Caenorhabditis elegans: one gene and its partners. The protein of the gene in region 1 interacts with the protein of each later gene in a pairwise test. Each region holds a gene or a part of one and is shown in the gene's direction. Other genes may lie near its edges.

Region 1 (3,755 bases):
GAAGAATTCCTCGATTTTGGCAGGCTTCCCGCCGAAAATCGACGCAATCAGGTCGGAATGTAGTTCTTCAGACATGGAATTGCCTGAAAATCATGAAAAATTAATTATTTACGAGAAAAAATGCAATTTCAGGATCGAACAATTCAAAAAATCGCGAATTTTTGTGATGCTAAACAGCACGCGCATGCGGGATTTCGGAGCATCGTTAAAAATTGTTTTAAAAAAAGCGAAAAATTACTTTTTTTCCGAGGTTTTTAATGATTTTTTTTACGGTTTTTGTTGAAAAATAACAGAATTTTAACTGGTTTTCGGAAAAATTTCAGATTTTACTCTCTCCAATCGTATTTATGGCAGAATCAAAGAAACGAGGAGAAAAATAGTGAAAATTCGATTTTTTTTTTTTCACTAGCTTATTCTGAAAAAAAAACCCTTATTATTTGCATCGAAACACCATTTTTGGTCATTTTGAAGTGATTTTTCATTGAAGTAATTGCGAAAAATAATGAAAATCAACAATTTCGATCAAAATTTTGCAATTTTTTCGATTTTTCCCTCGAATCTCTCGAAAATAATGCGATTTTGATTGAAAAAATTAAAAATTCAATGAATATGACATCTGCTTCTCTGAACAAAAGCTAGCGACGCCCATCACCATGGAAACTCGCTGCTAGGTAATCCCTTGTGGCGGCAATCACCGTGGGAACGAGCAGGCATTAAAGAAAAATTGTGCTTCGGCTTATTATTGTGTTAAAATTTATTTTTTTAGGCGGAAAAACAGCAAAAATTCACAAAAAAAATTCGAAAAACCGCCATTTTTTGAGCAATGATAAACAACATGCACGTGCGGAACATCGGAGCATCGTTGTGTTTTTTTCGTTTTTCAACGACTTGTTACTAGATAATTAAGCATGGAAACAGCCATGAAATCAATAAAATTAAAAAATCTATGTAAAAACTCATATTTATACGAAAAATCTACACAAAAAAAATGATAAAATCCACCGAAAACTCTATTTTTCACACAGAAAATGTCGAAAAAAGATTAAGCTCGAACTTTCGGAAGAACGTCGGCCTTCTTGTAGGACGGCTGAACGACACGATCCTTGTTCATGGTGATTTCGGCGTGAGCGTACGAGTATTTGTCGAATTTCAGGTATTCGTCGCATTTGTACAGTGACCAATCGGGTTTTCCGCCTGAAAATTGAGAGATTTTGCGTGGAAATTGGATGGAAATTGGGAAAAACTTGTCTGAAATTCGATTTTTTTTCTAGAAAAATGCACATTTTTCCAGAAAATTAGACTTTTCATAGTTTTTTTTTCTGACAAAAATCGATATTCTGCTCATTTTTAATGTTTAATCAGAATATTTTCGGCTAAAATCGATTTTAACAAGAAAAATGGCGAAAAATCGACATTTTTTGCAGAAACTAGCTTTTTTCAATGAAATTGTAACTAAAAATTTAGCTATTCACAAGTTCTAATGCAAAAAATCAAATATTTCAGTGATTTTACGGGAAACATCGAATTTTCGTGCCATTTCCGCAAAAATTCAACTTTTTCAGCTATTTTTAAGGAATTTTTTGGCTTAAACTTTTTCAATACAATATTATGACGGATTATTATCTAGTTTAGAGTTTCAGAAAGCCATACCAGCGACCTGTCTGGCCTTCTCTGCGTGCTCGATTCCGGTGCTCGTTTTTGGAGCCGCCGACGCCATCCGACGAGCCGAAATAACCATCAAGCGGTTCATTTCTGAAAAAAAAAACTTATTTATCAATTATTTTACCAAAAAATCAATGAAAAAACTGAAAGAAACAATGAAAATCGATGATTTTCGAGATTTTTAATTAATTTCTTTTCCGAGTCGCGAGAAAAATCGATATGTGCCTTGGACGCTTGCTGGCGCGTTTCGTGATGTTTATTGGCGCGTTTCTCGTGCAATTGTTTCGGCGGGAGAATTCGAATCTTAAACTGTTTGCGGCGCGTTTTCGGTCATTTTTCTTCGATTTTTAATCAGTTTTTATCGTTATTTTGCAGGGAATTCATCAGAAATGACGGATGTAAAGACACAAAACGCGATTTCCCTCAAAGGATCTGCCCAACTCGTCAAAGAGTTCTTCCGTACGGTTTTCCCCTGCAAAAATTCGCGATTTTATCGTTTTTTATTTCAGATTTCGGCCTTAACAGCATTCTCTATCAACGTGCGCTTTATCCATCAGACAGTTTCAAGCGTGAGAAGAAGTACGGGCTCACACTGTGGGTGGCTCATGAGAAGAAGCTCCAAGCGTTCATGGATCCACTTTTGCAGCAAGTTGAATGTAATTTTTTTGCGGCGGCGGGGGAAATTCGAATTTCAGCGTTAAAATCATCTGAAGTTTGCAGATTGGCTCGCGAAAAGACAGCTGAAACGGTTGGTGATGGTGATTTCCGAGGTGAAGACGAAGGAAGTCGTGGAAAGATGGCAATTCGATATTCATACAGAGAATTTGGCCGAGGAAGGGTACGAAATCGTTTGAAAACTGGCTCAAAGCTGCAAAATCCGGCGTCAAGCTCAATTTTTTCCGCTAAAACTGGGGAATTTGGCTGAAAAAATCTTCAGAATGGTCATTTTTCCTGTTGAAATTGTTGAAATTGGCCAAGTTTTGCGATTAAAATCTCCTAATTATTGGCGCGTTTTTGAAGTTTTTTAACTGAATTGTCTCAATTTTTAGGTTACTCTCAGCTTTTCCGGAGCAATAAATTGATTTTTTCTTGAGAATTTCTTTAAAAATTGGAAATTTACCGATAGAAGTTACAAATTTTCGCACGTTTTGATTAATTTTCAGCATTTTTTTCGGATTTTTTTGTTTCAAAATTCTCACTGAAACCCACTAATTGCATCACAAACCCCCTCAAAAAGGTGTGATATGTATACATTTCTCATTGTCTCATAATCCCTTTCAACAACAAAAACCTCTTGACTCTCAAGTGCTCCGGCAACCGCCCTATGATGACGCAATAGACATTATACCAAGAGGAGAGTCTTCAGAAGCATAACAGGTGTGCTCAGCCGGAAGCAGAGAGGTCAAGGAGATGCTTAATTTGCAAAAAACTGAAAAAAAAAGCGAAAAAAAAATCGATAAATCGATAAATCCCTGGCCCCCACCGGCATGTCTATGCACTCGCGCCCTCAGTTTTTGGATCCTATGTGGTCTAGTGGTTAGGATTCGTGGTTTTCACCCACGCGGCCCGGTTTCGATTCCCGGCATGGGAAGTTTCTTTTTGTAAGGGCAATTTCAGGGTTTCAGGGCCAATTTTCAACTTTTCTAAGGTCAAATTTCGTAATTTTCATAAATTTTTAGACCTAAATTCCCAATTTTTGCAGAGAAAACGCGCACCGCGTCAAGGAGGAGAAGAAGATTCGGCAGGAGATTAGCGATGTGATTCGGTACGGCTTTCAAAAAGGACAAAAAGAAGAAAAGAACCCCCGAAAATTTGAGAAATTTGATTAGAAATAACCAAAATACAAATTTGTGGCGTCAGGTGGTGTGATGGTGCTCTTATTGGTTGGGAGAATACCATATCTAGGCGACAGACGTGTTTTATTTGACTAATTGGTGGAAGAAGGAAGGAAAGAGATGATCCTCAATTATATTTGTATTATGGGTTTTTAGACGGAAATTATACGCAAAAAAAATGGAGGAAAACGTAAAAGTTTTGAGAATTGACGCAAAAAGTTGGAAAAAAAAAAGTTTTCCAGTGAAATTCGACCAAAA
Region 2 (3,755 bases), on another chromosome or scaffold:
AACGGTCTCGACACGACAATTTTTGCTGAATGAAGAAAGGTGTGCGTCTTTAAAAAGTACTGTAATTTCAAATTTTCGTTGTTGCGGAGTGTTATCTCTATTTTTCAAAGTTTTTCGATCAAAAGAATACTTTAGGTTTGAAAAACTACATTATCTACAACAAACCGTTAAAAAAACTATAAAAATCGATAAAAAATTCCGCAGAATGCTGAAGCACCGAGAATTTGAAATTACAGTAATCTTTGAAGGCACACAAATTTTTGCATTTAAATAAATATTGTCGTGTCGAGATTGGTACCGTATTTTTGGCGCAGAAATCGCAAAATTTCACGTTTCAATTATAATTTTGATAGAAAAAACAAAAAGAAGCTAAAAATTAAACTTTTCGAGATGAGGTGTATTTTTGACCCAGAAATTCGCGTATGTTTTACAGCATTTCAATTTTAAAAACTCACCAACAAGGTCGTCTTCTTTTTTCTTAATTTCATCAACAGTATCAGCCATACAACATCCTCCAGCGCCAGAAGCTTCGACACTTTTTGAAGCCAATGGAGGTGTAGTTTCATGATGATGATGATCATGTCCGTGACCATGTCCATGTCCATGAGCAAATGATGGAATTATCATAATAACGACTTCTTCGAGAAAGAAGATAAGAAAGAATCCGAGACAAGATAAAAGTTCTCCGACTGGATAATCGATACGAAAATTATGAACTGTATCGAGGGTTTCAAGATTTTCACGAAGTTCTGGGAAAAGATGAAGGAAACACGTGGCAAGAAAGACTCCTGAAAAATTATAAAACTAATAAAATATTTTAAAACATTTCCGAACCTCCAGAAAAGCATGTCAAAAGGCAGAGAACAAGGGAAACGTGTTTGTGTTTTGATGAGCTCTGAGCTGTCGCTGCTTCATGCCGTAATTTGTGAAGTACCTGAAAAACATTAGTGAAATATTAATACACAAATCTCAATAATTTCTCACTTTTAATGGCGATAATCCAACGATAACTGTGAGCGAAAACATTACAAACATTAACACCAATTTCAGTATTGCTTCGTTCATTTTGTTTTCTGGAAAAAAAACTAAAATAAAAGTTATGCACGAAAAAGTTGGCAACGGGGCGGTCCGGAGGGTGCAGCTGATAAGAATAATTGATAACAGTGTGCTTTGTTCTAGTTTTCAAAGAAAAGTATATAAAAGCGGAAGGGAAATGAGAGAACGCGCGAGAATTCAGTTAAACCAGAAGAATTATTGTTGATATCGATTAGAAGATAATGTAGAATCAGAAATAGTGTGAATAGCGGTTTCAATAATAAAAATAACAATAAAACCAACGGCTATCGAATGTAAATATTTGTATTTGTATTTTAAAAAATCATTTATAATCTAAAGAAAGAAGAAAATTCTTTAAATTTAACGCCAAATTCGGCATAAGGCTGTGCAAAGATGTGCCTTTAGGCCTGCGGGGTGAGGCCTGAATCTCGCAACGACACTCCGAAATAACGCAGACGCGTGCTGTTTAGCAAAAAACAGTTTCAATGACGATTTTTGAATTTTAACCTTAACTTAAATAATTACCCGTTTTCCTTCGAAGTTTCTTTCGTTAAAATGCTAATTTTGGATGTTGTTCATGATGCACTTCATTTCGAATCATCCTAACGTAATTTAAACTCAAAGAAAAATCATAACACTCAGAATATGCTATGAAACGAATAACGGTAGAAGGTTATTGAATAGTCCCACTAGTTTCATTGAAATAGCTTTCATAAGTATTAGGAAATGCATTATTTTGTTCTTTCGATAGTGTTCGATGGTATTACTACAGAAATGTTCATTTTAAAGTTGTCTTCTACGATCGGTAAAAACTGACGATTAACGCGTTTGTTTACAATTGTTTTAATGTTTTAGTTTTAAAGTTTTAAAAACGATTAGGAGTTTTTCATTTTTATTTACACTCATTTTTCTCCTCTCAGCCCTCATTTATCCGACTTGGCGTGTTAAGTCATGTCTCGAATTTTTATAGGTTTTCTCTCTGTATGATTCCGTCTCGGCGACAGCGATACTTTCGCCCGAACTCACCGCCAGTGACATCATCTTCTTCCGGAGCAGGAAGCAGTCACCAGACTATGAATCCATCGAATATGAATGTTTTAGAGCAGGCCGAATTAGTTATCGATGGAGGTGATCCAGGTAATATTTACGAGTTTTATTTACCACCTTTGCAAACACAGCTTTTCGACTTTTTGCATGAGGTATATTAAATTCAAATTTTCCAGGGGATGAACAACAAGTTGCCCATGAAGAAATTGTAGACGACGGTTCGACTGAAATGGTTGTTGATCACCATCATCATCCACAACTTCGTGGTAATCCAATGCATCATCATCACTATGATAACCGTCAATCAGCTCCTGCTTATCAAGTTCCACAACAACAATCTCAATCAATTCGTAGAGGAGTTGGCCGTCCGATGGCTCCTCGTCCACAAAGTTACCCACATAATATGGATATGGTTCAGAAATTGCAAAATAAAAATGTCTATATGCCAGCTCAGCAGAGACCTCAGACAAGAATTTCTCCAGCCGGCGCGAGAATTGTCAGCTTTGCTGGAAGAAAACGAGATAATTCTGATGGGCTTCCTCCAGGTGTAAAGGTAATTTTTTTGGTCGAGATATTAAATTTATTAATATTCCTTTTCAGAAAATGAACATGCCCGCAGCTCGCCCACATCAGCAGCAAACTCAACAACAATCTCATCTGCAGCAAGGTCAACAATCACAGAAAAATCTGCAACCTGTCAAAGTAGTTCGTCTGGCTTCAAGTGTGGCTCGTGCAAATCCGACAGCATCCGAACATGCTCTTATCGAAATCGAGAATAATATCAAACAAACAATAGAAGATGCAAAAGTCGATACTGAGAGATTAAGAGAATTACAAGAAGCTGACTTCTCACAGGATGAATATCATCAATATCTTGGAATGTTGATTATGGATCTGGAAAGATCAAATGAGGCGAACTCGACTCTGACAACATATTATCGCGAACGACAACGACATGAAAAGACTATTTCGGAAGCCAGAGAAAATGCATTTTCAGCTAGAATTCGTCAGTTGGAGACTGAAAATCGAAAATTGAGGGATTCGATTCATGTGATGTATTATGGAAAGTTCAATGAGGCTGGAGGTCATAACAATATTTATCGAAATGATCATATGGTAATTTTCAGTTAAATTACATTTTATTAAATATGAATTACAATATGTTTTTTTACAACTTTCAAAATTGATAAAACAATAAAAATAAGATATCCCTTTTGCAAACATTTATTGGATTTCAGGGTCAAATGATGGTTGAAGAGCCCGAAGAGCATGTTGTTATTGAAGGACACGTGGGCAATAATCAAGAAGGAGTACGTTTTAAAAAAAAGTCTATTATACAAAAAAAAGAGCTTCAATGTTTTGAAATGCAGAATAAAATCTTGAACCTGTAAATTATTTTCTCAAAGCTATGTAAACGGAAAACCAATGACTGAGAACTGAAATTCCATTTTTATTACTAATTTATCTTAAAAGTACACCTTCTGGGGAAATGCAGTCGAAACTCTCCAAAAAACTTAACTGCTTTGTCATCGAGCAAATTTGGAAGAAAGTTTGAATTATTAATTTATAGTGAAATTACGAATTTAGTAAACATCTTGGTTTTTTTAAACTTATCAAAATGTTCGATTTTGTTTCTAAACAATAATAAAAAA
Region 3 (3,755 bases), on another chromosome or scaffold:
TTTGACCTTCTATTTATTGTCTCCCATCCCCCGTTTTTTTTCCATTTTTGTGGGCTCCCAATTCGTTATGAACAGTGAGCTGGTTTTTCATCGCAGGCTTCTTTTTCCAGCAGTTACGAAGCAGACGTTCTGTGTTCAATACTTGACCATTCTCCCCCCGCCAGAAATGATCGATAAGAGGTGGTCCTCGGAGACCCGCGCGCGTGCGCATAGGTCACCTGATCACGTGGTGAAGGGCAACTGCCATTGTTTCAACGCCGGAATATTTTTTGAACCTTTATTGATTATCTCAAGTTTCTTATCAAATTTTCGAAAATTTGCCTTTCTTTTGTGTAAGGGGAAAATGGAAAAATTACGATTTTTGTTTCCATCGGAAACAAACAAAATGTGTTTTGTGGTGTGACCAAACGTCATTTTGTGTTGTTTTCTTGAAGTTTCTAGACGCGAAAAATAGAAAAATAATTAAAACTTTCTATAAAATTACCAACTTTCAGATTTCGGAAGGATTTTATTAAAAAAATTGGCAACATTTTTGATTTTCAATGAAATTTTTTTAAGGTGGAGTGCGCCCAGTGGGAAAATTGCTTCACAATGGCCGAATATCATGATTAAAAAATTCAAAAAAAATTTCTAAATTTTATATGATTTTTTGAAAATTGAAAAATCTCAGTTTTCCCCTAATTTCTATTTGAATTACCGCCAATTGGGTTCGTTCGATGGAGCGCGCTTGCACTATTTATTTTATTTTTCTCATTATTTCACTGATTTTCTTCATTATTTGTGTATTTTTATCGGAAAAAGAGAGAAAAATGCAAGGTAAATGCTTATAAGATTTATTAAAAAGTAACTGAAAATGAGTAAAACTGTGGAATATGCTATTTTCAGGATTTTTGGCGTCGAAACACAGTTTTACCCATTTTCAGTAATTTTTTAATGACCAATTTGCATTTTTCTCTATTTTTCCGATTAAAAACCCCCAAAAAACGAATAAAATCAGTGAAATAATGAGAAAAATAAAATAAATAAATAAAAATAATGCAAGTGCGCTCCATCGAACAATTTCAATTGGCGGTAATTCAAATAGGAATTAGGCAAAAACTGAGATTTTTCAATTTTCAAAAAAAAATCATATAAAATCTAGAAAATTTTTTGAATTTTTTTATCGTGATATTCGGTCATTGTGACCCTATGGGCATGTTTTAAAGCAATTTCCCCACTAGGCTTACTGAGTAGAAAAATCCCGGAAGTGCAATTTTTGAATTTTTTGTGAGAAACTCCTCCACAATTCGTCATTGAAAATGAAAAAACTCGACTAAATATTTTTTCCATGACAGGCGGTCTGCTCCGGGTTCGACGTCCTTTTCGAACTGATAACGTCACAATTTTTTTCTTTTTTTTTCCGCATTTTTTCATTCCGATTGCTATTTAATCGGGTGATGTCGGGGTCACTCTTCAATGTCCGTTGACTACATTGTTTTAATTTATTTTTAATTGACTCCAAATTTTCCCCTGATTTCGAATATCTATGTGAAAAAATTCAAAAAAATTTCCCTGATTTTATATTTAAGCTTGAAATCGCTTGTACTAGCATCACTTTTTTTCAAATTCGCGCCCAAAGAAATTCGCATTGGAGCGCGCTTTGATTTTCTTCATTTAAATATTTTATTTATTTTTCGCCGAATGCAGTTTTTTGAAAACCAGTTTCATTCATTTTTGTCGAGCTTTTATCGATTTTTTTCGACAAAAATGAATAAAACTGGTTTAAACTGAATTCGGCGGAAAATAAATAAAATATTTAAATGAAGAAAATCAAAGCGCGCTCCAATGCGAATTTGTTTGGGCGCGAATTTTAAAAAAAGTGATGCGGGGGACAAATGAAATTCTACGATTTCAAGCTAAAATATAATATCAGGGAATTTTTTTTGAATTTTTTCACATAGATATTCGGAATTAGGGGAAAATTTGGAGTAATATAAAAAATATTTCACAGATTTCGGTACTCAACCTTTAAAATTTTAAGTGAGAAAATATTATTAACGTGATTTTAAATTTTTTTTTCTTCTGCAACAATTTGAACTTTGATCTTAAATTAAAAAAAAAAATTATTTTTAAAATTTCAGTTCAAAAATGAGCGGATTAGCACCAGATGGACTGCCCAAAGGAAATCGAGTTTGGGCTGATGGATGGTTGGTTTTTGGCTGGAATCGACACGTGGTGTCAAAGTGTCTCTTTTCGGTTTGATCTACAAAAAATGTGGGATTTTTTTTCCAAAAAAATGTGACGTCAGCACGTTCTTAACCAATTTTTGTTGAAAAGTCTGCGTCTCTTTTCCCGCATTTTTTGTAGATCTCTACGTAGATCACGCCGAAATGAGACACTTTGACACCATGTGAATTGAGCCTTAAAATGAATTAATTTTCCAGTTATGACATGGTGCATTTCGGCCATGCAAATCAATTACGGCAGGCTAAGCAGTTTGGACAGAAGTTAATTGTTGGAGTACATAATGATGAAGAGGTTTTCAATATTTTTTTCTCCCTAAAAAGAAGATGGGAATATGCAAATTTTTGTTAAAATATTAGCAGTTTTTAAGTCGTAACTCGTAAATTGCGAAATTTTTCCCTATAACACACTTGATCTACGCTGATCTACAAAAAATGCGGCAGAGTTCTTAACTCATTTCGTATGGTTAAGAACGTGCTGACGTCACATTTTAATGGGAGAAAAATTCCCGCATTTTTTGTAGATCAAACCGTAATGGGACAGGGACCCCTGGCACCACGTGGCTATAAATTATTTTAAAAATCAACTTCTGTGAATTATTTAAATTAATTTTCACTTTAAATTACGATAGTTCAGGTAAAAAATATTGTTTAAATAATTCAATTATTCAATTTTCCTTATTAAAAGCCACGAATTAAAAAGAAATTTCGTGACTTGACAAAAATTTTAAAGGAACACGCGTGTGTGACCCTTTAAGGAGTACTGTACTTTTAGCTATTTTGCAGTTTTTTTTCATTTTTTTCGAGATCGCGTCGAGACCCGAAATAGTTGGCATCTGGTAAATATTCTGATTGAATGGATATTTTCGTTATAATTTGGGGTTGCATGGAAAAAAAAAGAATATTTTACAATATTTTTCACTAAATATATCGTAAGTTAGGGTATATTGTGGTAATCATTAAAAATTTTTAAATTTCAGATCGAAATTTAGCAAAAAAAAAACATTTTTAGTGACTAAAAAAACATATTCGTTTCTAATTTCCAATTGAAATAGAAAAAAAAACGTTAAGTAATATTTTTTTTTATTGCAATTTTTTCCGACCTTTAAAGGTGGAGTACCGAAATCTGGGAAATATTTTTAATTGACCCCAAATTTTCCCCTAATTCCGAATATCGATGTGAAAAAAATTAAAATTCAAAAAAAATTCCCACGATTTTATATTTAAGCTTGAAATCGCCGAATTTCATTTGTTTTTCCCGAATCACTTTTTTCAAATGCGCGCCCAAAGAAATTCGCATTGGAGCGCGCTTTGATTTTCTTAATTTAAATAAATATTTTATTTATTTTTCGCCGAATTCAGTTTTTTAAAACCAGTTTCATTAATTTTTGTCGAAAAAACCGATAAAAACTCGACAAAAATGAATAAAACTGGTTTTTAATAAAACTGAATTCGGCGAAAAATAAATGAAATATTTAAATGAAGAAAATCAAAGCGCGCTCCAATGCGAAGTTCTTTGGGCGCGAATTTAAA

What was found.
Region 2: the proteins of mdf-2 (region 1) and T19B4.5 interact in a two-hybrid assay, tested with the Caenorhabditis elegans proteins (one large-scale study listed by BioGRID).
Region 3: the proteins of mdf-2 (region 1) and pcyt-2.1 interact in a two-hybrid assay, tested with the Caenorhabditis elegans proteins (one large-scale study listed by BioGRID).

Annotation. Positions count from the first base shown.
Region 1 is NC_003282.8:2,639,307-2,643,061, reverse strand, and holds the start of mdf-2 (Mitotic spindle assembly checkpoint protein MAD2A), read left to right. Parts: upstream 1-2,037; 5' UTR 2,038-2,051; coding exon 2,052-2,121; intron 2,122-2,171; coding exon 2,172-2,318; intron 2,319-2,382; coding exon 2,383-2,500; coding exon of another isoform or gene 2,501-2,516; exon of another isoform or gene 2,517-3,364; coding exon 3,365-3,427; intron 3,428-3,755. Other genes in the region: Chaperone ric-8, read right to left, coding at 1-75; nduv-3 (NADH dehydrogenase [ubiquinone] flavoprotein 3, mitochondrial), read right to left, coding at 1,043-1,194, 1,651-1,750.
Region 2 is NC_003279.8:5,672,280-5,676,034, forward strand, and holds the start of T19B4.5 (uncharacterized protein), read left to right. Parts: upstream 1-2,024; 5' UTR 2,025-2,129; coding exon 2,130-2,193; intron 2,194-2,279; coding exon 2,280-2,656; intron 2,657-2,703; coding exon 2,704-3,219; intron 3,220-3,341; coding exon 3,342-3,413; intron 3,414-3,755. Other genes in the region: zipt-2.4 (Zinc transporter ZIP3), read right to left, coding at 456-788, 835-934, 985-1,065.
Region 3 is NC_003279.8:2,076,841-2,080,595, forward strand, and holds the start of pcyt-2.1 (ethanolamine-phosphate cytidylyltransferase), read left to right. Parts: upstream 1-2,118; 5' UTR 2,119-2,127; coding exon 2,128-2,186; intron 2,187-2,423; coding exon 2,424-2,517; intron 2,518-3,755.